4 linked regions of the Arabidopsis thaliana genome follow. The protein of the gene in region 3 interacts with the protein of the main gene of each other region in a pairwise test. Each region holds a gene or a part of one and is shown on either strand. Other genes may lie near its edges. The genes, in order: ABCG10, CNGC18, TMT2 and CAT6.

Region 1 (6,112 bases), on a different chromosome or scaffold from region 3:
GAAAGGTTCTCCTGAAACAATCAAATTTCAGAAAACCCATCAAAAACTAATTACTACTCTCTGACAAGATCAAATCTTAGTGTCCCTTACAACAATGTATATTGTGACTAGAAAGCACAATCATCAGAGTTAAACAACATACCTCCATAGTCTTTATTCTTCCCATCCAAGTAGGAATCAGGAAGAACCCACTTAACCTTAGGCAACTCTGGATTGTTCACATACAAAAGTATAAGAAATCAATGCTTATAATAAACTCAAGCTAAGCAAAAGAATTAACAAGCTTTAACCTTTGATCTTATGTGAAAGATCTTCTGAAACAAGAGCTCCAAAAGCAAAGTAGCATTTGTGCGACACAGAGTAAATCTTCATCCTTGCCTCCTCTTCACTAAAACGCAAAAATAAGATACACACTTAACAAAGTAAGACTCTAGAAACAGATCAAAGAACACTGTGGAAATGGATCTATATATATACCTGCCAACAACTTGAGCTAGGGTTTTGATGTAGTAATCAATAATCTCGTCTCTAGAGAGATTTCCATGACAACAAACCAATGCTCGAAATCACAACCATCAAGCAAAATCGTATCCTTTGGTGGCCGATTCGACCAGTTAGGGCTCGGATCATTCAGCGAAGCGGAAGTAACCTGCGTAGACATACACCTAGCTAGAGATACACCGGCACGGACCAACGCTGAGAATCCAGAAACGAGAGAACGTGAACGATTCAACAACGAAGACGCAGATCGAGAAACAGTAGGGGAATTGGCGAGAGGAGATGACGAAGAGAAGGAACGAGTGAACAGTGAGGAAAAGGATTTAGCTGGCCGGTGAAGGATGGAACGAGAAATCGCCATTGGAAGATGATAAAAATGGAGAGGTTTTAGTGAAAATGGAAAAACCCCAAGCATAAATGGGTTTAGATGGATCTTTCAAATTTCAAGGATATTATGTAAAACTAAAAATTGTAGTACATATCATTACTATTTTACATTATTTTCAAAATCGTCCCATTGTTATTTCAATTGACATGAGAAACCCATTTGTCACGAAATCATCATAAACAACCATATGTTGAATTCTTCTCTTTCGTCGAGGTTAGTAGAGAACATATCTGGTTGCTCAGTGGGAGTGACATTAAAAACGTCGTCTATGTATTGTAGATTAGGTATTTCAATGATACCTAGTTGAGGATCTCTCAAATAGCTTATAATCTTTGGTAGGACAAGATCCTCCATATTCGTATGCAAATGGACATTGGCAAAGTTATGTGGTAGCTCATATTCCCGTTCTGCTAAGGCCATCTTTTTGTGCTCTTCAGAGCAATACCGAGATTCAGGTGCGTAGACACATGTACAAGACCAGTACGCGAAGGCCTTATCTTTATGCACATAATGCATAACACGAAGATTGGCAACACCCATTGCAGAAACCTGCTAATACACATTGTTAGGTCTAGAGAAAAAAACTCTCTCTCGCAACTTTGAAGATTTTGTTTGCTCTTTGGATTGTCGAGATTGTTTCATTTCGTGTTTTTATATTATTTTTTACTTTTAGTTTTGGATTTGAATCTTAGGTTTAAAAAAGAAAAAGAAAAATTGTGATCAAAACGACATGGTTTGATTGAAGATGATGCTAATTCATTAAACATGGGTCATTTGAGTCGACGTATGTTAGTATTAACTAACATTTGTTATTGCAGATCCTAAAATACGTGCGACCTATAAAGTTTGGATATAATTTTTTTTTTTTTATGAATTTGGGTAAAGAATTAACATTGTACAGTATGTTTTATATAAGAAAACAATACTTTGCAAATTGTACTGGTATAAAAATATCGTTTTTCCAGTCACCCGCTTACGTTTGGTCCAAGTTGTTTTTAATTTTATACCGAATTAAAGTTTATTAGTCACAACTTTAAGTGTTTTTTCCAAACCCAAATCAAAATTCGATTTTTTTCGTCACAACTTTGAATCAGCCCCTTCACCTTTGCAGCCACATCTAACCGAATGCCCACCTAGACAACATCTTATAATGCGTCTTTTTATTATTATTATCCAAAAATAATTAAATTAGTGAGGTTTCTTACGTGATTATTCCTTGTTAATTAAACATCTGAATTTCCGTAAGCGAGTTCGAAACACGTAATTAAATATTGTAGGTAATATATAACAACCAAACTGGGTTTCCTCTCTTTCTTTGTTAGAAAAAACTAATAAATTAGATAAAACAAGTTCACCAACAAGGCAAACATTTCACGGTCAATTTTTCAGCTCACCCGAATTTGAGAATCTCTAGACGAAACCAAATCTCTTTCTAACTAATTCTTTTTTTGCTTTTCTTGTACCTCTTCACAATTTCAAAACCCAATTAAAAAAAAAAAAAAAAAAGAACCAACTACATATCTTAATTTCTTAGATATTTTTTTTGGTCAACCAATTTCATTAGAAATTAAAAAATACAAGAAAAACAACAAATGTTTAATTTCATATAAATTTATCTAACTGTATCAATATTATTTACGAACAAATTCTTTATTAAGAAAAACAAATTAAGCATTTTAAGCTTGGAATCATAAATATCTTTGGTTTAATTTAGTCATAGTCAAGTGCTTTTCGGTTTTCATGGAAGGCAATAAGAGAAAGCTAATAAAGTCTTGAAGCTTTTGAATGTTTGAATAATAAAGGAGAGGTTCCTTAAAGTTTGGTGTGTTAGTTCATCTTCTCTACCATTTATTCTTCACTTAATCTCACACTCTTTGCTCAATTTGTTGATTTCTCTATCTCTCAAAGTTTGATGCTTTCTTTTTCCTTCTTTCTTTCTTAGATGGAATTGCCGGTAAAAGCTCCTATTCCCGGTGGCCGGGAAATCTCATATAGATTAGAAACCAAGAATCTGTCGTATAGAATAGGCGGAAACACTCCAAAGTTTTCTAATTTATGTGGTTTGTTGAGTGAGAAGGAGGAAAAGGTTATCTTAAAGGATGTTTCTTGTGATGCAAGATCCGCGGAGATCACTGCGATCGCGGGTCCAAGCGGAGCAGGGAAAACCACGTTGCTGGAGATTCTAGCCGGAAAAGTTTCTCATGGGAAAGTTTCAGGGCAAGTGCTTGTCAACGGTAGGCCTATGGATGGTCCTGAGTACAGGAGGGTTTCAGGGTTTGTGCCACAAGAAGATGCTCTGTTTCCGTTTCTTACGGTGCAAGAAACACTGACGTACAGCGCACTCTTGAGGCTGAAGACAAAGAGGAAAGACGCGGCTGCAAAGGTGAAGAGGCTGATTCAAGAGCTTGGTCTAGAACATGTTGCGGATTCAAGGATCGGTCAAGGATCAAGATCTGGAATCTCTGGAGGAGAGAGAAGAAGGGTTTCTATTGGAGTTGAACTTGTTCATGATCCAAATGTTATATTGATCGATGAGCCAACCTCTGGTTTGGATTCTGCGTCCGCTCTTCAAGTTGTGACGCTTCTCAAAGATATGACGATTAAACAAGGTAAAACCATTGTTCTGACGATTCACCAGCCTGGTTTTCGCATACTCGAGCAGATAGACCGGATAGTGTTGCTCTCTAACGGGATGGTTGTTCAAAACGGATCAGTTTATAGCCTTCATCAGAAGATTAAGTTCTCCGGTCACCAGATTCCTAGGCGGGTAAATGTCTTGGAGTATGCAATTGATATTGCAGGGAGTCTTGAACCGATCAGAACCCAGAGTTGCAGAGAAATCTCATGTTATGGTCATAGCAAAACATGGAAGAGTTGCTATATTAGTGCAGGAGGAGAGCTTCATCAATCTGATTCTCACAGCAACTCAGTGTTAGAGGAAGTGCAGATACTCGGGCAAAGATCTTGCAAGAACATCTTCAGAACCAAGCAATTGTTCACAACCAGAGCCTTACAAGCTTCCATTGCCGGTCTTATACTGGGGTCGATTTACTTGAACGTAGGAAATCAAAAGAAAGAAGCGAAAGTCTTGCGAACCGGGTTCTTCGCCTTTATCCTCACTTTCCTGCTATCTTCCACAACAGAGGGACTTCCAATTTTCTTGCAAGACAGGAGAATCCTAATGAGAGAGACATCGAGAAGGGCTTACAGAGTTTTGTCTTACGTTTTAGCAGATACTCTCATATTCATTCCCTTCTTGTTGATCATAAGCATGCTCTTTGCTACGCCGGTTTATTGGCTGGTCGGTCTCAGAAGAGAGCTAGACGGCTTCCTCTACTTCTCATTGGTGATATGGATTGTTCTTCTGATGTCAAACTCTTTTGTCGCATGTTTCAGTGCTCTTGTCCCAAACTTCATAATGGGGACATCAGTAATCTCAGGTCTCATGGGATCTTTCTTCCTCTTCTCCGGGTATTTCATTGCAAAGGACAGGATCCCCGTTTACTGGGAGTTCATGCATTATCTCAGCCTCTTCAAGTATCCATTCGAATGCCTGATGATCAACGAGTATCGAGGAGACGTGTTCTTAAAACAACAAGACCTCAAAGAGTCTCAGAAATGGAGCAATCTTGGTATCATGGCAAGTTTCATCGTCGGGTACAGAGTCCTTGGATTCTTCATCTTATGGTACAGATGTTACAGAACAAGAAGCTAGGTTAATAACAATGATCTGCAGATATAATTCAATTTGTTTTGTAATTTTATAAGAAATTTTACTTTCTCATATTCTTTCTTTTTGTTCAGCACTTTCTTATATTCTAAAATTCGCAATGTAAAGTAACAAAAAAACTTTCTGATAAAAACAGAGTAAACTCGTTTATTTATAAGACAGTTTTAAGCATCACACTTAGTACAAAGCTCACCACAACAACGGTACACTCATTGATCGTTTGATACTAAAGCCTTTTTCTTATTAAAGTCACTCTTACCTAAGATACTCATGAGTTTACACAAGTGTTGCCTTTGAGAGCTGAAGTCCTTTCTCGCGCCCGTAAAACTTCTCTACAATTGCAAGTGCAAACTCCAATGAGGTTCCTGGACCCCTGCTCGTTATGAGATTGCCGTCCACCAAGACTCGATGCTCGATGTGACTCTGGTCCGTCAGTTTGCTGCACATTGCTGGAAACGCTGTTGCCTTCTTACCCTGTAAAAAAATCCATTAAAAATTGTGACCCTTCCCTTAGTTTTAAGTGCAAAAATAACGGTTTGATAACAGAATACTCCATGCCATCGGATATATAGTAATGATCCTACACATCTAAGCAAATGTGTGTGCTATTGTGATTACTCTCGTACCTTGAGTAAACCATGTGGCTCAAACACCAGAGCAGGAGAGGCACAAATTGCTCCATATGGTTTGTTTGATTCCGCCTGCTTCTTTAACATATTCACTAGCTTCTCCGAACTTGCAAATGCTTCAGCACCGCCGAGACCACCCTGATAATAAAAAGAGAAGTTCATCATGTTGGCCTCAACTTGCTTGACACTATAAACTTTAGTAATTTGAAGAAGTTAGCACTCACAGGCAACACAATCAGATCGTACGAATTCTTTTCAGCCTCGTCGAGAAGCACATCTGCCACCAGCTTGACTTTCCGAGATGCTACCACTTCCAAACTGTTACCAAGCGCAGCTACGACAACATTTGCTTTTGCCCGCTTCAGGACATCAATGATAGCAACAGCTTCCATTTCCTCCGAGCCATCTGCAATGGGTACAAGAATCTGAAAAGGAAAAACATGATCTCTCAGTGTACGGAAGATTGATTAAGAAAGACGCATGAGCTCAGTAAAGCAAGTGTGAAAAGTTTTGCCAGTCTTTTTTTTCTTTTCATTTTGCCAGACAGGCAATTGAAAGCTACCTGTGGGGTACCCTCGAATGACCAGCTGACTTGGTTAAGCTCAGTAATAGTATACTCATCACCAGGGTTGGGACGCATCACCTGATATGCAAAGGGGAAGAATAGAGACTAAGAGGTTACCATGGAATAAAGCCTATGCTACCAAGGAATGGTTGTTTCTTTGTGGAAACCTAAATTTTTCAGTGTCCTATATAGCTTTCAACTGTCTGTAATCTCACAAGAACAGTCACTGATCAGTGGACAGGGGAAATAATGCTGAAAAATTCAGCCACAGGCCTAGGCTTCAAGGAAATCACAGTATTAGT
Region 2 (7,331 bases), on a different chromosome or scaffold from region 3:
CCCGAGACTTGCCTTCTACGGCATGAACTCCTACGCATCGGCTATGTGCTCCGCCATTTCGGTACACGAGCTCTTTACCAAACCGGAAAGTGTTAAATCTGATACTGAACCGGTTACTGTACCGGATTTTCCATGGATATGTGTTAAGAAGTGTGAGTTCGATCCGGTTTTGACCGAACCGGATCAATCGGATCCAGCGTTCGAGCTACTCATTGACCATCTTATGTCCACCAAGAAAAGCCGTGGAGTTATAGTGAACAGCTTTTACGAGCTCGAGTCAACGTTCGTTGACTACCGGCTCCGTGATAACGATGAACCAAAACCGTGGTGTGTTGGGCCTTTGTGTTTGGTAAATCCTCCAAAACCGGAGAGTGATAAACCGGATTGGATTCATTGGTTGGACCGGAAACTAGAGGAAAGATGTCCGGTTATGTATGTGGCGTTTGGAACGCAGGCTGAGATATCGAACGAGCAGCTCAAGGAAATAGCATTAGGGTTGGAAGATTCCAAGGTACGTTAAAGAATGGATTAATGCCAACTTAAAACCTCATATTAATACAGTTGACCAATCACTTTTATTATTCCACCAAATTCCATGCATGTCCTTTTATTTGTTTTTGGTATCAACCCATAAAACATTTTTTAGTCTATATATATATATATAAAGAAAAGTATTGTTTTGTGAATTTACGTGGTCTTGATTGTTTTAAAAAGGTCAATTTCTTGTGGGTCACGAGAAAGGACTTGGAAGAAGTAACTGGAGGATTAGGGTTCGAAAAGAGAGTGAAAGAGCATGGGATGATTGTGAGAGATTGGGTAGACCAATGGGAGATATTGTCACATAAAAGTGTCAAAGGGTTTTTGAGTCATTGTGGATGGAACTCGGCGCAAGAGAGTATTTGCGCTGGGGTTCCACTACTCGCTTGGCCAATGATGGCAGAGCAGCCACTCAATGCGAAGTTGGTAGTGGAGGAGCTAAAGATCGGAGTAAGAATCGAAACAGAAGATGTAAGTGTGAAAGGATTCGTGACAAGAGAAGAACTTAGTCGAAAGGTACCGTATATATACCCTTTCATGTTTCCATCTTTTGTTTTAATTGGTGTCATGCATATATTAGAATAAAATGTTTTGAATATGGTAATCATGGCTTTGCTTTTTGACTAACAAATTAACAAGAAGGAAGCCTCTTTTTCCGTTTGACTGTAGAGTACCCCTTGATTGTATTTATTATTTGTACTATTTAGGTTAAACAATTGATGGAGGGAGAGATGGGGAAGACAACGATGAAGAATGTAAAAGAGTATGCGAAAATGGCGAAAAAAGCTATGGCTCAAGGGACTGGTTCGTCTTGGAAGAGTTTGGATTCGCTTCTGGAAGAGCTTTGTAAGAGTAGAGAGCCAGACGGTGTTAATAAGTTGTCAAGTTCTGATGCTTAGAGAGATTAAGGATTGGATAACAAAACGGCTTCGTACCTAATTTTAGTCATTAAATATGTTAGGTTTGTTGAAAAGTTGGTCCATTCTTCTCAATTGGATATGAATGACTAATTTGGAGTTCTAATTCTTGGTTTTGGTCTTATAGTTTCAAAAAATTTCAATTGCATTCAGTGGTTGCTTTATGAGATTTTTGCTATCTTTGAGGTTAATATTGGCTGGTCAATCCGAAGAAGCTATCAACACCTTAGTGTTCTTCTGAAAGACTTAAAAATGAGTTTGTATGCAAAAGTAGTATCTACTATGAGAAGAAATCAGACTATATAACATTGAGACAGTTTAAGAACAATGTATTTTTACTCTACACTCGTTTTCTATATCTAACATCCTCAAACCGAAACGAAAAGAAAAGAAAAATTACAAGTTGAAATAATTAAGGGAGTTTCCTAACTATTTACCATCTAAAACCAAACAGTTCACACAAAAGTTTTTTGCCCATAATGACTACACTTTAAACGTCTTCTTTATCTATAGAGAAATCAGGCTCATCTGGTTTGAATAGTTGAGGCATCTTCAAACTGGTGGAAGATCCATCTTTCTTACCAGTACTACTACTTGAAGCCTTTTGATTTGTTCCTCTTCTCGTGTTCGCCGCAAATTTAGATGCTAAGATCGTTGCTCCCAGATTTGTGTTGTCCATTGATCCGCCTTCCTCGTCACTTCCATAGTAATACTCTCTAGTTTCTTCGTCTTCTTCATTGTAACCTGTTTCATCCGGGTAATAGTATCCGCTACTCTCGTGAAGGCTGAGCTCTTTCGCAAGCTTTCTTCGCTTGTATCTTCTCCATGCAGATTGGACAAAACATGCTCCCCATGCTCTCCATTGATGTGAGTAGTACCTGAAAGCGTGTTGAAGCTTTTTGCTTTGAAGACGTTTGAACTGATGAGCAACAAACTTAAGATCCTCTGCGCTTAATGCAAAGGCTTCTACTTCAGAGAGGGCACGGACGCTTCGTGTTGAAGACGGAAGATTGAGTGTAGAGTTTGGCATTAAGGCCCATGTAAGAAGTTCTTCCCCACAGAAATCGCCAGGTCGTAGAGTAGTGGAGTTGAAGAAACCAGATCTTCCTCCATTTGTTGTTGAGCTCTCTATTTGTCCTCGGATCACAAATAGCATCTCATTCACCGGATCACCTTCACGGAATATGTATGTCCCGGCCGTGCTTAAAGATGAGACAAGGCATCCGCATATAGCATCAAGAAGTTGATCATCCATTTGAGAGAAGAACGGGACCTGCACTTACCACAACAATGTGACTTCTGAATTGAAAAACAATCAAATCCATAACAGTTTTTGATGACTGAGTTGATGTATGTACCCGGCGAACAAGGGAGAGACAAAGATGACGTTGGATTTCACGGCGTAAATCTGTAGGTAATGAATGGAGGATTGATTCTTCATCGACACCTCTGGTTGCAAGCCATTTGTATTGGACAAATCTTCGGACACGTTCTTGAAGCTCTGGAGGTAGTTGACGATGTCTCATCCATTCTTCAGTGTCTCTTCTCTTAACTCTCCATTCCTCAACTCTTACTGACATCGATTGCAGAGAAGACTTTCCACCAAATTAAAAATCATGAAGTCTATTGTTAGAAAGACAAAAAAATGTCTCTGTATTGAAAAGTTTTGCAGAGTGATGCATAAGCTCTGAATCTTACTTGCATGTTACCAATCAGGAGTGTGAAGAGAATCAACCCAAAAATACAAATTGTTATACAGAACAAGGTCTCGCCAAGGTATACACTTGTGGTTATATTCTGTCCATAAGAACTGTGAAACAAAACCTTTATTAAAACCAAAGGAGGACAATTTAAGCAGATACTGGTTAGATAAAAGGTTGTCATACCTTAGATTTCTTAAACCCCACCAAAGACAATACAAGTACTTGGACACAAAATCTGTTGTAGCAACTTGAGTGGTAAAGGCTTCAGCAAACATTCCGAATTTGAAATTGGTAGTGCTGCTTGTAGCATCACAATGAGAAAGGACCTGAGTAACGTTCTGCCAATACTGGCGCTCTGGTTGTTCTAAACTCTTGCAATCCAAGAAGCTAGGAAGACAATCCAAAACTCTCAAAGCGTTGTCTTTCTTGCATACGTTGGACCAGCACGAAAACTGCCGCCCGATTGATGACAGATACCACATTGCTCCTAACACCTGCCCACAAATAGAGATTCTTAGCAACTTAAAACTGAAGAAACCTAAAGATTTGAAAAAACACACAAGATAAAGAAAACTTACGTGACTAGCAAGGATGTACAATAGGAGGTTGTATGCAGCTCCTGCCCAAGCAGTCTTGGCGATAAACCCGGTTGTTTTGATAATCCTTTGGTTGAGTGGGAATATGATGAATGATCTTGGAATGTATTGAACAAGAACGATAAGTGCGAGAGTGCTATTGGCATGATTAGCAGTTCCATTTGTGGCCGCTGGAATTACTAGCCAAATAACAAGCTGAGATCAAAAGATAGTCAGAAACAAAGCATGAGGCTCCCAAAATATCTCTGTTCTTTAATCTTCTAGCTACCGCCTAACGATTTTTGAACATTGATCTTAGCTAATCGTAATCCATATCATTGCTTTCACATTCAAAATAAGAGCAAAATCTTAAGAACCTGAGGAAGGGGAAGCATGGCGGCGACATCAATGAGGAAATCTGTCTTCAAGTATCTCATAGCAATCTCTCTAGAATCCATAACAAGCTCACCGCGACCAAAAACACGAGAACTCCTCGCGACGAACGCAGTTCTGAATTTCATGAAAATGTGCAAGAGGTGGAAGATATCGGCGACTGTACGGAAGAAAGTGACAGTAGCGGCGAGGCTGATGTCGATGGAGAGACACGCCGGACCACCGACGTAAGGGACGTAGAAATAGAAAGGATCGAGGAAGAGAGCGAGGATTGAGGTAATGAGAAAGACGTGGTTCCAATAGGTGACGATGTTGCTGTCCGGGTCCAGGATCTGATGCCGCCATAGGACGCTGAATTGGCTACCGTCAGATCCTCGATTTGAGGCGGCGGTGGAGGCGGAGGTTATGGTCTCCGGGAGGAGGCAGCGGAGAGACCGGATTTTATTCATCTTCCATGGCGGATTCCGGTGTTAAATCGGATTCCGCATTAACACAGAGAGAGATTGAGATTGATGGACAGAGAGGCTAGGTGGTTGCGTCGTGTGATTTTTTGTTTTTTTGGGTTTTTGCATTTTGTTTTTGATGATTATGGAAGAAGGAGAGGATTTCTCGCGGGAAAACTGAGAGAAGGGCCATGGAAATAGGGGGAAGGGTAGTTTTTGAAAATATGATGGGAGAATGAGGGTATTTACGGAATGTTATAGTTGCGGGTCTCGTTTGTTTATGCTGTTTTTGTGTTCTCAAAACAGCACACGTTTTGCATCTCAAAACTTCAATCGACACAATATCTACTGTTCTTAGTTGTTGGACCCACCGGCCCAATAGTTATAGATCGGCCCAATAGTTATTTTTTTCTACTTTTTTTCTATGAAAATCAAAGGGATATATACTATATATGCTTTAGGATTTTAAAATTACACATTATAATGTATACAATTGCTATGATCATTTCTATTGATAAACTAATAATGTTTTTAGTAGTTTTAACTTAAAGTCCGGTTTAATATTGTTTAGTTCAATTGTTCAAAGAATAAAAAAAAAAATTATAATTAATTCGTAAAACCATGATAAGATTAGTTAAAATATCTAATTCGTTATGAGGTTCATTAGAATTTATTTAAGTGAATTATTGAAGTTTTATGAGCTACATTTATTATATTTTGTCAACACATTAAACCCGTAATTCAATTATACTGTCTTTTGTAGTATTTCCGTTTTTGACATCAGTTTAACAAATTGTCTTACATAATTCATTTGTTGTTGTTATGTACTATTAAAAGTATATAGAAGCACGCGTACCAAACATTCTGTGACAATATGTGGTAGTGGGAAGATAGTGTACATGCTTGTTGACACCATCCATAAGATAGTGTACCTATAAAATAACAAAAAGGGAATAGAAATCCTTAGAAACAATTATGCGAATATAAAAGGGATAATAAGAAGTGAGAATAATAAAATGAATACTGAAATTAAAAATTACGTCACGGAAAAATGATGTTTATCCACACAAAAAGAACAACAACTTCCATCATATCATATAGAGGGACATACTAACTTTTCCACTTCCAAAAAATCACACTTATGCGTAATTGTTTTCTCTAACAATAATGACGTATTTTAGTCCTTCAAATTTTAGTACTCCATCATTTTCCGATTAGACACAAAGTAGTAATTTCAATATAAAAAATTAATAACAAGCTTTTATAAATGATTATGATAACTTATACTAACATATGTGACAATATTGTTTTCTCTATGCTTGTTAAACGTAATTAAGAAACAATGATGTTAATTACTCCAACTAATTCATGGATCTAGAAATACGATGTTGGTTAAACATTATTATCGACTAATTTATTACTTCGTTAATGGCTGCTATTAAGTATGACCACGTGTGGCAGATTTGAGATGTTTAGCGATCTTTAAATATAGAATCCGACGGGATCCAATTCTCCTCTTTTTTTTTTATTCCACTTTGCCACTGTGATTATATAATAAGTATGATTAATTAAGAGATTTACATTCTATTGATTTACTTTATTATTTTATTCATGTGGAGTAGACTATACGACAACTACTTTATCGTTACTTTTTAATTTTATTTTTTAGTGAAAATTTGCTAGTCAAGTTTAGAAAATTCAAAATAGCATTTCACTTTTATATGCACGATTGATTTCGTTGCTTATATTAAGATAAGGAAAACAAATGTTACTCTTCCTAAAAAAATTGTTCTTTGAGAATACAATTTACGTGTTCCTCTTTTCAATAAAGTCGCTGGTGTTTATGAAACACACATTAGAAAGAAAAAAAAAAGATTTAAAACATTTATGAAGATGGCAAAGGTTCCCACTTCCCATTGTAGGAAGCAACAAATTTCCTTTTTGTTTGATTAATATAAATGCTTACGGGACGCAAGAAGAAATTTCGTGATCGTGAACATATTAATCATTTGGGACCCTAATGAAAAAGACTAATAAAATCTTTTGTTTTATCGAATAAAAAGTAGATTGTAGTTTTGTGAAGTTTAAAGCACTCGCTTATCAATTGTTTTATCTAAAGAAATAAGATAAGCTGCTTTCAAAGTGGTAAGAGTTAGGTCTTGATAAAAAAAAAGTCTTGAAGGTGGTGCCACACCAAAATCCTTGCACCTTTCTATTACATACACACGTGTATAGAGATTTTTAGTCATATCTTTGAATAAATAATCTTTGGATATATGTATAGTGAATAATTTGTGGGTTTGAGAGTTGGAGAGGATGAACTACAGGTCACGTAATATACCCTAAAATAAACCATCACGAAAGAATAGAATAGAGAATCTCTTGGTACTATCAAACAAACAATAAAAAAAAAAAAAAGTAAAAGTGACGAAGACACCAATCTATTCATTTCCCACCCATCTCCCATTAATATTTCTTTCATCTCTTATTATTTTTTACATGCATATTTTTCTATCTCTAACCTTTTGTTTTTGGTTCACTCAAAATTTGTGGTACTTTGATCCACATATAATATTTGCATATGTTAGTACGGTCTTATATAATAGCCATGTGATAGTAAACCCTTTCACAACATACAGTAAATATACCTAGTATATATAGTTTCAACGGTTCAAGATTCAAAATATCGTCTTAAACAGCGACCAGATATTCTTGAACCTCCAAAACGATCTAATTTTAATAAATTGGTGAATGAAATCGATT
Region 3 (8,332 bases):
CAAAATAACCAAAAAAAAGACAAAGAGCTAAGAAGTTTCGATGGATCTTTTAAAGGAATAACAAAACAGAGAATGAAGTAAAGCAAAAAGAGGATCTAGTTACCAGTTGTTGAACTCAGAAGGGCGAAAGAGAAGACTGAAAGAATGGGATTAGGAAGGAATCTGACTTAAAAGGAGAAACTAAATTTAGGGGAGACAAAAGAGAAAAGTCGAACAACAAAGGAAAGCTACAATATTTTATGTTTATTTATTTCAGAGATTGAAGTAAGAATAAAAATAGATTTTTTAAGAGCTTTGGTTTGGTCGGATAGATTAGATTCGTTGGATGAGAATGTGATGGTGTTTTATTTTACGGCGGCGATTGAGCGAAGAAAGGTCTTTTATTAGTGCTCACCAGCTACTACTTCTACACCTCTCTGACTCTGTCTCTCTCCGCTGTTTCCTCTCACCTTCTTTCTTCTGCTTTTGCATTATTAAATTTAAACCAGTTTCTCTTTTGTTTATCGTTTAAATTGTAATTGAAAAAAAAAACTAAAATTAGAATGTTGGTTTGTACAAAATCAAAATGCATTTCTGGTTTTACTAGTTACCGTTAATTGTAAAAAAATTTAAGTATTAAGCACGATGGTTTTATTCTCGTCGTATGAGAAGACTAATTTAAATACATGTGATCTACTTGTAAAAGAAGCAACCGTTCATTCAATCTCCTATCAGAAAGAATAGTAATCTCTTGAGATTTTTTCTTAAGATAAAGATATGCCAAATATTTAAACAGTATTATGGCGTCACTGACTATTATGACGTAAGAGATTGACTTTTCCATATATTGCAACTTTCTGGAGCCCCGCACATAATCCCTAATAAGTTTTACTTTTGGGCCTTGTTTATTCACTGATCCAGCCCAATGTTCAAATACAAAATTCAGACACCCCAAAGGCCGTATTATTGTATTGTTTTAGACTTTAGACCTTACAATAAGGCCTAAAATGATAACATATTACACATTTCAATTCCAGATAAAAAAAAGAACCGAAAATTTTAATTATAAACGCTATCAAATTGACATTTTCACAAGACTGAATCAAATTTGACACCTCCACGTACACAAGCAAAATTATATTTTGGGTTTTGTATCAATGTGCTGGCTGATTTTTTTTAGCAAAACTGTCCTGTAACATCTCTCCAACTTGGTTTGAATTCGTTTTAACATTAGTTTGGTGACAAACATAACGTTATTGAATTTTTCATTTTTCCGTAATAATCATTCTGATTTTTTTCTTTTCAAAATGTTGTTACTAGATGTTTCTTTCCCAAGAATAATATCTTAAATCAGTAATCACTACTACCAGTAAACATAAATGGTACGTTTCTCCTCATTCTACGGAATTTTTAAGAAGCAATGATGATGATTAATTGAGGATGTGGACAAGAATCTTTATATATTCGCATTCACATGCCATAACTTTCAAAGTCTATGAAAAAAGATTCTATTGCGTGTTTATATTCTGTGGTGTGTACTGTAGTTCCAAACATAACGCTTGTACTACGTTCATTTCCGGAAAATATCTAAGAAATATGGAGTCATAAATATTTATTAACCAATTAGATGTTTTTCCTATGTTCTAAATACATTTATGGTAATCTTTGCGGTCAAATATACGAACTTTAACAACGACGTTTAACAATATATCTTTTGTTTTATACATATCAAGTTTTGATATACGGACGATAGATATTTATTTTCAGAAAACCAGTAGTTGTCGTAGTCACATGGTTTGTTTTTCGTTGATCAAAATTTGTTAATGTTATTCATTTAGAATTAGAGACTGTATATCGAATTTGGTACTCGGTTCTAAAAAAAAAAAAAACTCAATATGATTTTTTATACATTCTTTTTCTTCCCTTTTAATCTGTAAGAAGAATAGTAAAGTGAAGAAGAAAAAACTATTCATTATATTGTAACATACGAATACGACTCACAATTAACTAAAGTTAAAGTGTCTCATTGTATTTGGACTTTGGACATTATTCTCCATTATTGCATTGTTTCTTTCTTTCTTGATTAATTATGTAAAGTTGAAATGATTTGAAGATGCTTTCCGGATGTAAACAAACTAAACTTTACTTTACCAATAACTTTGTTTTCAGAAAACTCAGATATTTATCTCTAGTTTCTCGTATAAGTCCCAATGAATCTAAGATTTCAAAAACCAATCCTATATTTGTTTCATATTTACAAAAAAACACCAAATATTTTTCCCCAATTATGCCGACATTAAACTCATCTTTTTACATACAAAATCCCAAATTAATATCCGTTTTTACCTTTACTTCATGAAAGCGAAGATGGTAAAAAGCAGAAACATTTCGAGATATTAATTTGATTGTATAGGCCCGTGAATAAACTCGTGGACCCAAATCGAAAAGATAACAAAATTTAAAGATGTACTTAATTCTCTGAAAAAATTCTGTACGCAAACACGAGAAAGAGAAGAGAGACATACACACACAATACACATACGTGGTTTGAGAGGACAGGAGCAAAACGGCAGGTGTCACTAATCCCATAGGCTTCTCTCTCTGTTCACTGTCCTTCCGCACAAAAAAAAAAAGTATTCATTTTTATATTCTCACGGTTACTTCGAAATCTAGCTTTCGTTTTCTTTTTTTTTGATTTAAACCAAAAGGGTAAACAATGCTTTATGATTGCTTAGTGACGCCATTGAAGCAGCGGCTCACTGATAGTGGCTTCTTCTGCCTCCAATTCCAAGTTGCTAACCCTAGTTTTCATCTCTCTCTCTGTATATCATATTCTCTCGTACTTTCTTACTTTCTCTTCTACTTGGTAGAGATAAAAAGTAGTCAAATTTTATTCAAAGTTTTGATTTTGACATCTGAGGTTTCACCTCTGTTTTTTTTTTCTAGAACTCCTTTGGGTATGTGTCTTTTACGTCACTAAAGGGTTTGTTATAGTCTTAGGTCATGCTTTTTGGTGTTATCTCTCTCTGTTTTATCTTTTAGCTCACCAAGTGATTGTGTCTGATTTTCGAATTTTCAGGTGGATTTTGTTTCACTCACTCATCGTCGTTGATCAGTGACTCTGTTTTTGCGAAATTCTCTTCAGATTTCTTGATAAAAGATAGAAGACGGAATTATGAGTGGAGCTGTGCTTGTTGCTATTGCTGCTGCTGTTGGCAACTTGTTACAAGGATGGGATAACGCAACTATTGCAGGTGATTGATTATCTTCTGTATCCATAATTCTGTTTATGAAATTTAGGATCGATAAAGTCAGGATTTTTATGGATACAATTCACAGATCTTTTAGCTTATCTCTTTTGCTTGTGTGATGGATTTTAAGTTTTCTTTGGGTACTCTGCAGGAGCTGTGTTGTACATAAAAAAGGAGTTTAATTTGGAGAGTAATCCATCAGTGGAAGGTCTAATTGTGGCGATGTCACTTATTGGTGCTACTCTGATTACAACATGCTCTGGAGGGGTAGCTGATTGGCTTGGTCGCCGTCCCATGCTAATATTGTCCTCAATTCTCTACTTTGTTGGTTCTCTAGTAATGCTATGGTCTCCGAATGTTTATGTGTTGCTCTTAGGAAGGTTGTTAGATGGATTTGGGGTTGGTCTTGTGGTCACACTTGTTCCTATTTATATATCTGAGACTGCACCACCTGAGATTAGGGGACTGTTGAATACGCTACCGCAGTTCACTGGCTCTGGAGGGATGTTCTTATCTTACTGTATGGTTTTCGGAATGTCGTTGATGCCATCACCTAGCTGGAGATTGATGCTTGGTGTCCTTTTCATCCCTTCCCTTGTCTTTTTCTTCCTCACGGTCTTCTTCTTGCCCGAGTCCCCAAGGTGGCTCGTGAGCAAAGGTCGAATGCTTGAAGCAAAGCGGGTTCTTCAGAGACTGCGTGGTCGCGAAGATGTGTCTGGTTAGTCTTAAATCGTTCTGACTCTAATTCTTTCAATGAAACCAATCTTTTCTATTGAATGTTCTTATGTGGCAATGTATAGGTGAGATGGCTTTGTTGGTTGAGGGTCTTGGAATTGGAGGTGAAACAACCATAGAGGAATATATAATTGGTCCCGCGGATGAAGTTACTGATGATCATGATATAGCTGTGGATAAGGATCAAATTAAGTTATATGGTGCAGAAGAAGGGCTGAGTTGGGTTGCTAGGCCAGTCAAAGGAGGAAGCACTATGAGTGTTTTGTCTCGCCATGGAAGTACAATGAGCAGGAGGCAAGGCTCATTGATTGATCCTCTTGTCACACTGTTTGGGAGCGTTCACGAGAAGATGCCGGACACTGGAAGCATGAGGAGTGCCTTGTTCCCACATTTTGGGAGTATGTTCAGTGTTGGAGGGAATCAACCAAGACATGAAGATTGGGATGAAGAGAATCTTGTTGGAGAAGGTGAGGATTATCCATCCGACCATGGAGATGATTCTGAAGATGATCTTCATTCTCCGTTGATCTCACGTCAAACGACAAGCATGGAGAAAGACATGCCTCACACTGCTCATGGAACTCTTTCTACCTTCAGACATGGAAGTCAAGTGCAGGGAGCTCAAGGGGAAGGAGCGGGTAGTATGGGGATTGGAGGTGGATGGCAAGTGGCATGGAAATGGACGGAAAGAGAAGATGAATCGGGACAGAAAGAAGGTGGGTTTAAACGGATATACTTGCATCAAGAAGGTTTCCCAGGATCTCGACGTGGCTCAATTGTTTCATTGCCTGGTGGTGATGGAACCGGTGAGGCAGATTTTGTACAAGCGTCTGCTTTGGTTAGCCAACCAGCTCTTTATTCCAAAGACCTTCTCAAAGAACATACAATTGGTCCTGCTATGGTACATCCATCCGAAACAACTAAAGGGTCAATTTGGCATGATCTTCATGATCCTGGAGTCAAGCGTGCATTAGTCGTAGGAGTTGGACTTCAAATACTTCAGCAGGTAGTCTAGATAGCCACATCAAAATTAGTGAATCACAGAAGAAATAATGCGGTTTATGCTAATTCTATGTTTTCCTGCTTCCTCTTGGAAATGCAGTTCTCAGGCATCAACGGAGTTCTTTACTACACACCGCAAATCCTTGAGCAGGCGGGTGTCGGGATCCTACTATCGAACATGGGGATTAGTTCTTCCTCAGCATCCTTACTTATAAGTGCATTGACAACCTTTGTGATGTTACCTGCAATAGCTGTTGCAATGAGGCTCATGGATCTTTCTGGTCGAAGGTGATTAAAACTTAAATTTCCTTTGTTCTTACAATACACATAAACGAAACAAGCTAAAATGCGTTATGAAATGTCTTTTATTTTATATTTGCAGGACCTTGCTTCTCACCACGATACCAATCCTGATAGCATCTCTATTGGTTTTAGTAATCTCAAATCTTGTTCACATGAACAGCATTGTGCACGCGGTCTTATCAACCGTAAGCGTTGTGCTCTACTTCTGCTTCTTCGTGATGGGTTTCGGTCCTGCTCCAAACATCCTCTGTTCAGAGATTTTTCCAACTCGAGTCCGCGGAATCTGCATCGCCATCTGCGCACTCACCTTCTGGATCTGTGACATAATCGTCACTTACAGTCTCCCCGTGCTGCTCAAATCCATTGGACTAGCTGGTGTGTTTGGAATGTACGCAATCGTATGTTGCATTTCATGGGTCTTTGTGTTCATTAAAGTCCCGGAAACTAAAGGCATGCCACTTGAAGTCATCACAGAGTTCTTTTCTGTTGGAGCTAGACAAGCTGAAGCTGCTAAAAACGAGTGAGAAACTGAAAGACTTGTTGAGATAAAAAGTTTGTGTAATATTCATGTGGATTTGTTGTTGTCTTTTTACTTTGTGCAGTAATAATCATCTCTCTCTGTTTCGTCTTCTTCATGTGGGGAGAAAAAAAAGTTTCAAACTTTCAGTTACGAATCTCTTTATTACCATTTACCATTTGCAGAATCCATAGAACAAATCCGTAAACTTTCAATTACATACTTTCGATAAGTCTAGCTCCGACTTTATCAAGTTTCTTCACAGAAGCAGTAGATTTCAAGTTTCCGATCTTCAAGAACACTTGGACCATTTTCTCTCCGATCTCGTAACCTTTCTCCGCCGTGTCAATCACTGCAACCGCAGTTATGGTGCGACCAAATGCTCCAGCTTCTTTCCCATTCAAAGCAGAAAGTGATTTATTCACCTATAATTCTTGAGCAATTCAGCGTCTTTCCTCGCTTCTTCTCCTTTCATTGCTCAAACTCTAAACCTTGTAGCCTCGAGCTCTGTGATTTGTAGCCTCGAGCTCTGTTTCTGCAATCACACAAGCTGCTCTATGGTTTGGCTACAATCAGTCGCTACACGTTTCAAAGCTAATGCCAAATATATCATCCATTGTTTTCTTGCGAATCTTGGCTAATGAGGGCACGTGCGAGACTCTCATTGCTCTAAGCTTTTTAAGTGGAAAAAGGAAACAATCCAAAATTTGTTTTAGAAAAGGAAATAACAAAGAAAAAGGAAACAACAAAGAGCCGTTAAGAAAAAAGGAAACTTTGAATCCCAAACACAAACGATGTGTCTATAAATTGAGGAACCCTTCTCAGAGATAGAAAATTCTTAAGTGAGAGAGAGAGAGATGAAATTACATACGCAATTGCTCTGATTTTCACCATTCTCTTCTTCGATTCCTGTTTCCTTCGCTTCTAATTCAACTCTGATTCTTCTTCTTCCTCCTTTGTCTCTCGTTAATGGCGTTACGATATCTTCTCTCAGTCTCCGTCGTCGGAAGTTTTCTACTTTTGTTTGAATTCAAAGGATTCCGGATTTTGTTTACCCTGTCTTCAATGCAATGGTTCATCGGAAGATTTTGCGTTTTCTGGTTCATGATTCATCGGATGATCGGAGGCTTTTGGGTTTATCCGGTTCATGATTCATCGGATGATCGGCGACTTTTGGGTTTCTCCGGTTCATGATTCATCGGATGATCGGAGGCTTTTGGTTTATCAGTCACGGACACGCACACGGGGAAGACGGACATGGCGGTGGACGAAAGAGGCTTGGACTGCAAATCTCATTTTCAGCCCATATAATACTCAGAAGCCCATCAACAAATTGAGGTTCATTTCCTATCCCTTCTTATTTACTTTTTTTTTTTCCTCCCAAAAATCGATTTTCTCACGGATTTTTAATTTGCATAACGATGATATGAAAACTAACTGGATTTTGGATACAGTCTTGATCGTTAGCGATTCCAAATATTCAACTTGTTTTCATATCATTTTTATGTAGATATATTATCCAAGTTTTTTATTCGGATTTTTAAAAGTTTTAAACGTTTTTTTGTTTTGTTTTGTTTTGATACTAAATTTACATAAAGATATATGAAACTAACCGGATTTTGGATCCAGCCTCGGTCGTTAGCGATTCCAAATATTCAACTTGTTTTCATTTTTTTTATGTAGATTTTAGTATCCAAGTTTTTAAGTCAATTTTTCCGGTTTTTTTTTTTAATTATAAATTTACATAAAAATATATGAAACTAACCGGATTTTGGATCCAACCTCGGTCGTTAGCGATTCCAAACATTCAACTTGTTTTCTTATTTTTTATGAAGATTTTAGTATCCAAGTTTTTAAGTCAATTTTTTCGGACTTTTAAAGTTTTTTTTTATTTTTTATTTTGTTTTTATTCTAAATTTACATAAAGATATTTGAAACTAAGCGGATTTTGGATCCAGTCTCGGTTGTTAGCGATTCCAAACATTCAACTTGTTTTCATATCATTTTATGTAAATTTGGATATTCGGATTTTTAAAAGGTTTTTTTTTACACTAAATTTGCATAATGATGTATGAAACTGATCGTATTTTGGAACCAACATTAGTTGTTAGCGATTCCAAACATTCAACTTGTTTTCATATCATCTTTATATAGATTTTTAATATCGAGATTTTTAATTCGAATTTTATATTGCTTTTTCAAAATTTTGATATTTTGTATTTGGATTTTTAAGGTTTATTTTTATTTTTTATTTTCTATCTTTTTATTGTTTTGATATTTAATTTTCATAATATTATATAAAAATTGATAACTAACCGGATTTTGGATCCAGCATTAGTCGTTAGAGATTCCAAATATTCAATATTTTTTATATCATTTTTATGTAGATTTTAAGTATCCAAGTTTTTTATTCGAATTTTGATATTTTCTCTTCAGATTTTTGAAAGTTTTTTTTTCTTTTTGAGATTGTTTTTATAGTTTTTTTTTCTTAGTATTTAATTTACATAATAGTAGTATATGACAGAAAACTAGCCAAGTTTTTAAC
Region 4 (8,276 bases), on a different chromosome or scaffold from region 3:
CGTTACGAAGTCGACCAAGACGCCAAGACCGACTCTTCACCAGTATTGAGCCACGTGTCTTCTGCCAATTGTTTTGCGAGGATACTTTTTGGCATCGGACTGGTGCATCTACATGACGTGGCCTCTTGTTTAATCGTCACCTGGCTTTCCAATTTCCAAATAAAATCTACTAAGCTCTTGCTATTTTAAGCTTTTTATCTGCTACCATATGTTTCAAGTTTTGATATTATCTTCAAAAATATGGGAAAATAAATACAGAAAAATCAAAAAAAATAACTGTGAGTATGAAAAATATGGGGCGATTATTGGATGATAAAAAGAAGGTATGAAATTTCTGAATTGAAAAAAATACATAGAAAGGAAATTAGAAGAGGGGATAAATTGGTGAGGTAAATTTTGAATCAAACATTAAATTAACAAAAATGTAGTAAAATAGGGGGAAAAAAAAGTTTTTTTTTTTTTTTTGGAAATGTGTATGGGCTAGTAGCCCAAAAACAAGGAAAACACAAACTATTGGACTGGACTGATCAAAATAGTTAATGAGCGGTTTTGGTTTATGTAAAAAAGAGAATGGGCCTTTTAGATAGACTCTTTAAATAGAATTTGACAATCTCTTAAGTTATCTATTTATGGATAAATAAGTGATCCAACTTTAACTAGGTGAATTTGACAATCTTAAACTAGTAGGGAGTCTCACTCATGAACATTTTACATATTTATTTTTAAAATACTACACTTTCTTGAATACACAGCTTTTTTTTTGGGTGATATAATAAGGTATCTTCAAAAATTTATATATGAAATCAGATCCTAATATCTTGCTTTTACTGAAACCAAAAATTGTGTTTACAAAACGGCTCACATATCGGATTGGCACTCAAAAGTCAAATCACATATTTTGCCACGGATTTTATATAACTTCAAATATATGGAGAATGGAATTTTTGTATTTTTCAATTAGAAAAAAATACTATAGGGAAAACAGAGATGGGCAGGTCTGGCACAGGGCGTGTGAGACGTGGTCGGATTGAGGCAACCTGAATTTTGCATCTTATCTAAAATTCAGATTTGACCATCCCACTCACTGTATAAACCACTCCACATTATCTTTTTTATTTATTTCATTATTACTCTTTTGTGTACCCAAAAATGTGAGACTTATTGGTGACCATACAAGTCATAATTTATTCTTGTCGAAATTAATTTATATATAAATGTATGCGTATGTGTGTTGTAGATACGAATATGTGTCAACGTTGCTGACACTAATCTAATTATCATTATTGTGAACAAAGAGAGGCTTAAGAGTGTTCGATTGAAGTAGATATTTAATACTATTTGTTTGGATAAGGTAGTGTTAATTCAATGCAGTGCGCGGCCAACCAAAAAATAAAAAGATCAATTGCAACGTGTATCCAGTTACGGGTATGATTGGGAGCGATAGAACTTTTACATAAACATACACAAATCATTCTACAACACTTTTTAATCAAGTTTCATAGATGGTTAGATGAGTTCTATTCGAATTAACCTTATAGTGAGTTTTGGTGTGGTAAAAATAGTGTTGATTTTGGATTACATATACACATGCGGTTAGTTGGTGGTGTTGGTGATTTTGGATTTTGGATTTCAGTGAACAGCATCAAAGGCTCCGAGTTCGACCCATGAAAATAAAATCAGTCAATCCATTGCTTCTTCTTCATCTTAAAGCGTCGAGTCTAATGCCGATTTCTCTATGGAGAATACTCATCAGGATCATGATACAACCTGCAAACATGTTGCGTTGCCCTTATCACAGAGAACAGATCACTCATCTTTTTTTTCAAGAACTCACTCATGCATATTACCACTCACACATACTATCAAATAACACGGCACTAACACTAAAACAAATTACTAAGTTACAAACTGTACCAACACAAGATTTGCGGTTATTTATTCCTCTAAGTACCAAACTATTCGTGTCCTCGTTTTAAAACATTTAAATGCAGAGACAAAATCAGTTGAAGAAGACCTTAATTAGCTGCAAATATGCGATAATATTTTCCTAGTAATGCCAAGTTGCCAACTATAAAAAATGAGAAGATTGTCGAAAAGAACCAACTAATTACAAAAACTCATTTCCTCAAATTCTGGTCACGCTTCGCTTTAAACCTGTGTGCTTATCCATTGAAAACAAAACAACATCCCACGTGTCACCTTCTTTGCCACACGTGTGAATCTTAAACCACACATAGCCGTTAGAGGTAACGTCGTTACCGTGTCTTATGATATACGGAAGTTAACGCCGTTTGTTTAGTTTTTTCTTTTTAACGTCCGTGACGGTTTCATAACCTCGGGAACTAAGTAAGGAAGAGCTTTTGAAGCAGAGAGTCGTTACGTTTCAAACAACCGATCATAGTCATAGACACAATTATGGTATTAATTTCATTAATTAGTACTAATTCCCTATCAATTACAAGGAACGCAATTACAAAATTTTGTCTATAATAACATCAATTTTAGACCCTCATTTCAAGGAAAAATGTGGGAATGATTCTCCAATGACATATTTATGATTAAAAAGTTCATTTCTCAGGTTCGAAATATTTTGACCATTTTGAAATATACTAATAATGTTGTTTAAAAACATATCTTATTAGAATGTTTATATGGTGTTATAGTGTTGAGATATTTTTTTTAAATATAAATAATTGAGTACAAATCTATAAATTTAAACAATAAAGAGTGTTATTAACAATTAATGATAAGTAGTAAAAAAAAAAGAATATTCTTCAATAAAAACCGTAATTCATTTTTTTCCTATTTTTTAAAAAACAAAACAAAATAAGATAACCATAGGAAATGCCACTCTGTTACAACTCAGCAGTCTAATGATATTTAATAAAATACCAATTTTAGTGGTTTATGGTCAACAAAAATAGTTTACAAGCTTAGCTAGATGTGAATACATACTATATACTACCAAACTAGTTTATGATTTGTATATGAATCAATAAAAGCGTTAGCATAATTAGTATATATAAATGTAACTGTAATTGGACCAAAGAGATAAAGCATCTTGGGTTTAGTAAGCTTTTGAGCTGATGATGCTTATGTGATTAATGTGAATATAAGAATTAGGGAACAATCTTGTTGTTAATAACAATACTTATAACATTTAAATGCCCTTAAGTATCGTCATAATTACATCTTTGTCCCTATCCTTCTCTTTTTCACTTTTCCTAATCTCTAATATAAAACCAACTCTTGTCAAATTCAACAAAATTCTCACACAAACCGACCCGACCCGAATCTGGCCGGTGAGAAAATGGAGGTCCAAAGCAGCAGCAACAATGGTGGTCACTCTTCTTTCTCCAGTCTCCGCGTCTACCTCAACTCTCTTTCCGCGACGCCTTCTCGCTTATCCCGCCGCGCTATTTCCGTCTCCACCTCTTCCGACGAGATGAGTCGCGTCCGCGCCGTCTCCGGCGAACAGATGCGCCGTACTCTCCGGTGGTACGATCTCATTGGACTCGGAATCGGGGGAATGGTCGGCGCCGGTGTCTTTGTCACCACCGGCCGTGCTAGTCGTCTCGACGCCGGTCCTTCAATTGTCGTCTCTTACGCCATCGCCGGGCTCTGCGCTCTCCTCTCCGCTTTCTGTTACACCGAATTCGCCGTCCATCTCCCGGTCGCCGGCGGTGCCTTCAGCTACATCCGTATCACATTCGGTTAGTCTCCCGCGAAAATCATCACTACTCCTCCGATCTGTTCACGGTTTTCTGAAAATTTTAATTTCAAAATCAAAAACCGTAACTGATTTCTTTTCTGTTACATTTCCGTTCAGGTGAATTTCCAGCATTTTTCACCGGAGCAAATCTTGTAATGGATTACGTAATGTCAAACGCGGCCGTTTCGAGAAGCTTCACCGCTTATTTAGGAACAGCTTTCGGGATCTCAACTTCCAAGTGGCGATTCGTCGTCTCCGGTTTACCGAAAGGATTCAACGAGATTGATCCAGTCGCAGTTCTCGTCGTCCTCGTAATCACAGTCATCATCTGTTGCAGTACAAGAGAGAGTTCCAAAGTGAACATGATAATGACTGCATTTCACATCGCATTCATATTCTTCGTGATCGTGATGGGATTCATAAAAGGAGATTCAAAGAATCTATCCTCACCGGCGAATCCAGAGCACCCCTCGGGATTTTTTCCGTTCGGCGCGGCGGGAGTTTTCAACGGAGCTGCCATGGTTTACTTAAGCTACATAGGATACGACGCCGTTTCAACCATGGCGGAAGAAGTTGAAAATCCGGTCAAAGATATCCCCGTCGGTGTTTCCGGCTCCGTCGCAATCGTCACCGTTCTTTACTGTCTCATGGCAGTCTCTATGTCAATGCTTCTGCCATACGATCTGGTCCGTACTTCAAATTTATTATTTTCTTATTGTATATTTCCGTTTTCATAAAGACGGCACGTAGTCTGAGTCTAAAGCTGAAAACGGCGGGGCATGTGTTGTTGTAACGCAGATAGATCCGGAGGCGCCGTTTTCCGCGGCGTTCAGAGGATCGAACGGCTGGGAATGGGTGACGAAAGTGGTGGGGATAGGAGCAAGCTTTGGGATATTAACATCACTTTTGGTGGCAATGTTAGGTCAGGCTCGCTACATGTGTGTCATCGGACGGTCCAGAGTGGTCCCCTTTTGGTTCGCTAAGATTCATCCCAAAACATCTACGCCAGTCAACGCCTCCACTTTTCTTGGTACGTTTCTTTGTCTTCATTCATTCATCAAAAAAACATTTATTTAATTACTGTCAAACAAACAATGATGAAATATAATCAAATCATATATAGTTAAAAATAAATTTTGGTCCAGAAAGTGAGATAGAGGAGTAGTAGTTAGGTTAAAAGGGGACCCCAATGAGAACCGTTTCGGTTGTTTCCATGATCTTTTTATTGATTTGAACTTTTAACGTTTTCTCTAAATCATACGATCCACGTGATTTCATTATATATACGTGTCCATTTCAATATATTTTAAAGATCAAAAGCTTTTGGACGTTACCATTTTAAAAATCTTCTGCTATCGATTTCGATCGTGACAAGGGCTATGTACGTTGTGTAAGTATATCTCAATGTAGGGACATGGTTCAATGTGATTTGTATCATTGTATGGTGTTTAAGACAAGAGTCACAGAGAGAGCATCTGAGTCCGATTGCTAGATGTCGTTGTTCACCACTGGTTTTCTTTTCTGCTCTGTGAAAAGTTTCGTGTTTTTTGATTGTTCAAAGATTCAATCTTTTCAACGGTCTTGATTGTGATGGATTTGGTGGGTCTCTTTGGTTCTTTTTGTGTCTCCTTAGTGTTAAAAATACATATTCCACTTTTTTTTAAATAAAAATACGATAGTTGGATTATTAGTCATCCATTGGACGACTAGTAGTTAATCAATCATTTTTTTATTTCATTTTTTTTGTGAAGATACTACTAAGCCTAGTCGGCTGATATTTTGACAACTCCAACTTTTCGTAATTTCCGGAACATCTGGCTGAGCTATGCAACTCGTGAGTTGTTAGGTACCAGGATTTAGAATAATGACCATCTTTGATAAAATACATAGAAGATTGGAAAACATATACTAACGTTTAGAGCCATATTTATATGCATAATCTTTGTAACAAGCATTGTTTTCCTCATTAAGTTACTCTCATGCCTTTGTCACAAAATGGATCATTATAAAGGGGGTCATCATCGTTCAACCTTATCCTTGCTAATTTTAGCACCCACTAACTCACATTTGCTATATCCATCAATAGCATTGACAAAAAGACAAAATAAAGGAACAAATCCTCCCACTACCATTCATTTCAAATTTGGACTTTTTTCACTAGTCGAATCATCTACAGTTATAGAGAATATGACCATTGACCAATCTTATTAACGTTCGTATATTTTATCCCTTATCAGGCATTTTCACGGCGGCTCTTGCGCTTTTCACCGACCTAAACGTCCTCCTAAACCTCGTATCCATTGGAACACTATTTGTCTTCTACATGGTCGCAAACGCTCTCATCTTCAGACGTTACGTCCCGGTTGGACCCACCAAGCCGTGGCCCACACTCTGCTTCCTCACACTATTCTCCATAACCTCTCTCGTCTTCACCCTCATCTGGAAACTTGTGCCGGAAGGTAAGCCTAAAGCTTTCATGCTCGGTGCCAGTGCGGTGGTGGCTATAGCCATCGTGCTGAGCTTTCAGTGCGTGGTTCCCCAGGCTAGGAAACCTGAGTTGTGGGGAGTCCCGTTCATGCCGTGGACCCCGTGCGTGTCGATATTCTTGAACATTTTTTTGCTTGGTTCGTTGGACGCACCCTCTTACGTCCGGTTTGGATTCTTCTCCGGTTTGATCGTGCTCGTGTATTTGTTTTATGGCGTTCATGCGAGTTCTGATGCTGAAGCGAATGGATCTTTTGGTGTGAAAGATGGACAAGTCATGAAAGAGCTAATTGAAGTGTGAAAAGTATTTATTTAGTTTAGTTTTCTAAAGCATCATGAACCAAAATGTAATTAAACTCTCTAATTTTTTTTCTACATGAGGGGGTTTGAAATATTAATGAGAAAATATTAAATACAACTTTAGGAAAAAAAAGAATATGTATTTTGGTTTAACGAACGACCAAAATGAAATCGGTCATATGCAAGTCAATCTGTTGAGAGAATAGAGAAACTGATGATATTTTTGTTTTACCGTTGTGTACAATTCACAACACACAATATTTTTAAATACAGTACAAACTATTAGGTTACAAGTTTTTGAGATTGAAAGATCAAATCTTTGTCAAACCTATAAGGCAAGATCACGTATGAAATATACATGTGATAGATAACATTAATAAATGGAAACGTTAGATAGACATAGGTCTCTCATAAATACGAGATGGCGTACAATTGAAAACGATGGGTCCCCATCTTTCTCACGGGACACACATACGTGACATTATCCGCAACTTCATATATATCCAACAAGATCACCTTTTCTTTTTCATTTTTTTGTTCACAATCACTTGTTTCAAATTCCTTGAGGATATTTATACATTCTTTTATTATTTGCATTTATATATTCTATATATCAATAGTACTATTGAACTTTCGTAAACAAAGAACCATGCACAAAAAGTTTCAGTTTATTAAAGATGTCTTCATTTTTCTACTTTTATTTCTTATCAAGTATGATTTAGTTTATCTTATTGATTTCATAAAGATGAATGTCTAAGGTAGGATCGAATATGTGATCTCAATTAGTATAATCAGTCCAATTATTCTTTTAGTGAACACTACCAATAGGCAATAATTATGTGAGTAATTTAGTTAGGATAACATACATAATTACATTTTTATATATTTTGAAGTGGATGATATAAATCTCGAATCTAAATGAACTGTGTTTAAGTGGGAGACGACACTTGCTTGTATTCTCTCTCTTTTTGGTAACTATATTCGTAAGGATGGGGTCCAAAGAAAAGCCCAATATTTTCAAGATCGTCACATTGTTGGAAGCTTTATTTTTACATTATTTATGGATTTGTTTATAAGAAATATTCTGCCAATAAGAAGATGTGATTCTATTGGCAATACAAAGATTTGATGTCTTTCTAGAAACCCCACTTTACTCAAAGTAATGAGTTCCCTCTGTAAAAGGGTTCAACTCTAAGCGTGATCAGTGCTTCTTTTTAAAACTTTCCTTTATCCTAATTACAAACCTTAATATTGGATTCTACATTGGATTAACTACCAAAATTTTGACTTTTGAGGTTTACAAAAAGACAACATGTATTTTGTTTAACAACGGCCATGAAAGAACCTATTTTCTTCATTTTTTTTTTTTTTTGGTACAACCTGTCTAAACTAACAAAATATCTTGGATTTAGGATCATTATTATTGCATTATAATTATCGGCTATCAATTTCTGAAATGCACTAGAGTAAATGAAGAAAACTAGAGCTTAATCCTTGATTAAATAAATTATATAGAACACGGGACCACGAAAATGTCAACCTCTTATAAACCATTCAAAGCAAAATCTAAGGCAAGTTGTGTAGAAGATAGAGTGAGCCCATTAATCCATAGCTATATAGGTCTAATCAATTATTTCACTTTTTTGTTGACATTTTTATCACGAAATTTTTTTCCGACTTCTCATGAGCTTTGACATTCGCTTAAAGAAAAAAAGATCTTTATGTATAAAATAGTGTTTTCCAAAAAAGAAATCATAAGAGGAAAGATAGGAAGAAGGAT

Evidence for each region.
Region 1: the proteins of TMT2 (region 3) and ABCG10 interact in a protein complementation assay, tested with the Arabidopsis thaliana proteins (one large-scale study listed by BioGRID).
Region 2: the proteins of TMT2 (region 3) and CNGC18 interact in a protein complementation assay, tested with the Arabidopsis thaliana proteins (one large-scale study listed by BioGRID).
Region 4: the proteins of TMT2 (region 3) and CAT6 interact in a protein complementation assay, tested with the Arabidopsis thaliana proteins (one large-scale study listed by BioGRID).

What each region holds. Positions count from the first base shown.
Region 1 is NC_003070.9:19,860,050-19,866,161, forward strand, and holds ABCG10 (ABC-2 type transporter family protein), read left to right. Parts: upstream 1-2,771; 5' UTR 2,772-2,828; coding exon 2,829-4,601; downstream 4,602-6,112. Other genes in the region: AT1G53260 (uncharacterized protein), read right to left, coding at 1-11, 143-208, 291-372; AT1G53265 (uncharacterized protein), read right to left, coding at 1,049-1,426; DJ1B (Class I glutamine amidotransferase-like superfamily protein), read right to left, coding at 4,893-5,090, 5,243-5,383, 5,470-5,670, 5,808-5,888.
Region 2 is NC_003076.8:4,806,324-4,813,654, forward strand, and holds CNGC18 (cyclic nucleotide-gated channel 18), read right to left. Parts: upstream 4,771-7,331; 5' UTR 4,575-4,770; coding exon 4,110-4,574; intron 3,949-4,109; coding exon 3,736-3,948; intron 3,652-3,735; coding exon 3,341-3,651; intron 3,265-3,340; coding exon 3,153-3,264; intron 3,050-3,152; coding exon 2,813-3,049; intron 2,728-2,812; coding exon 1,945-2,727; 3' UTR 1,768-1,944; downstream 1-1,767. Other genes in the region: AT5G14860 (UDP-Glycosyltransferase superfamily protein), read left to right, coding at 1-511, 715-1,053, 1,245-1,436. UniProt on the Arabidopsis thaliana protein: Cyclic nucleotide-gated ion channel required for directional pollen tube growth into the transmitting tract. Acts as a Ca(2+)-permeable divalent cation-selective channel inhibited by either lanthanum or gadolinium.
Region 3 is NC_003075.7:16,793,894-16,802,225, reverse strand, and holds TMT2 (tonoplast monosaccharide transporter2), read left to right. Parts: upstream 1-2,414; 5' UTR 2,415-3,154; coding exon 3,155-3,233; intron 3,234-3,381; coding exon 3,382-3,948; intron 3,949-4,030; coding exon 4,031-4,971; intron 4,972-5,067; coding exon 5,068-5,255; intron 5,256-5,349; coding exon 5,350-5,794; 3' UTR 5,795-6,002; coding exon of another isoform or gene 6,003-6,212; 3' UTR 6,213-6,278; coding exon of another isoform or gene 6,279-6,353; 3' UTR 6,354-6,443; downstream 6,444-8,332. Other genes in the region: AT4G35295 (homoserine kinase, putative / HSK), read right to left, coding at 6,003-6,212, 6,279-6,353, 6,843-6,893. UniProt on the Arabidopsis thaliana protein: Sugar proton-coupled antiporter which contributes to vacuolar sugar import (e.g. monosaccharides including glucose, sucrose and fructose), particularly during stress responses (e.g. in response to cold).
Region 4 is NC_003076.8:1,375,808-1,384,083, forward strand, and holds CAT6 (cationic amino acid transporter 6), read left to right. Parts: upstream 1-2,813; 5' UTR 2,814-3,310; coding exon 3,311-3,713; exon of another isoform or gene 3,714-3,829; coding exon 3,830-4,398; intron 4,399-4,510; coding exon 4,511-4,742; intron 4,743-5,463; coding exon of another isoform or gene 5,464-5,495; exon of another isoform or gene 5,496-5,949; coding exon 5,950-6,497; 3' UTR 6,498-6,671; downstream 6,672-8,276. UniProt on the Arabidopsis thaliana protein: Permease involved in the transport of the cationic neutral or acidic amino acids.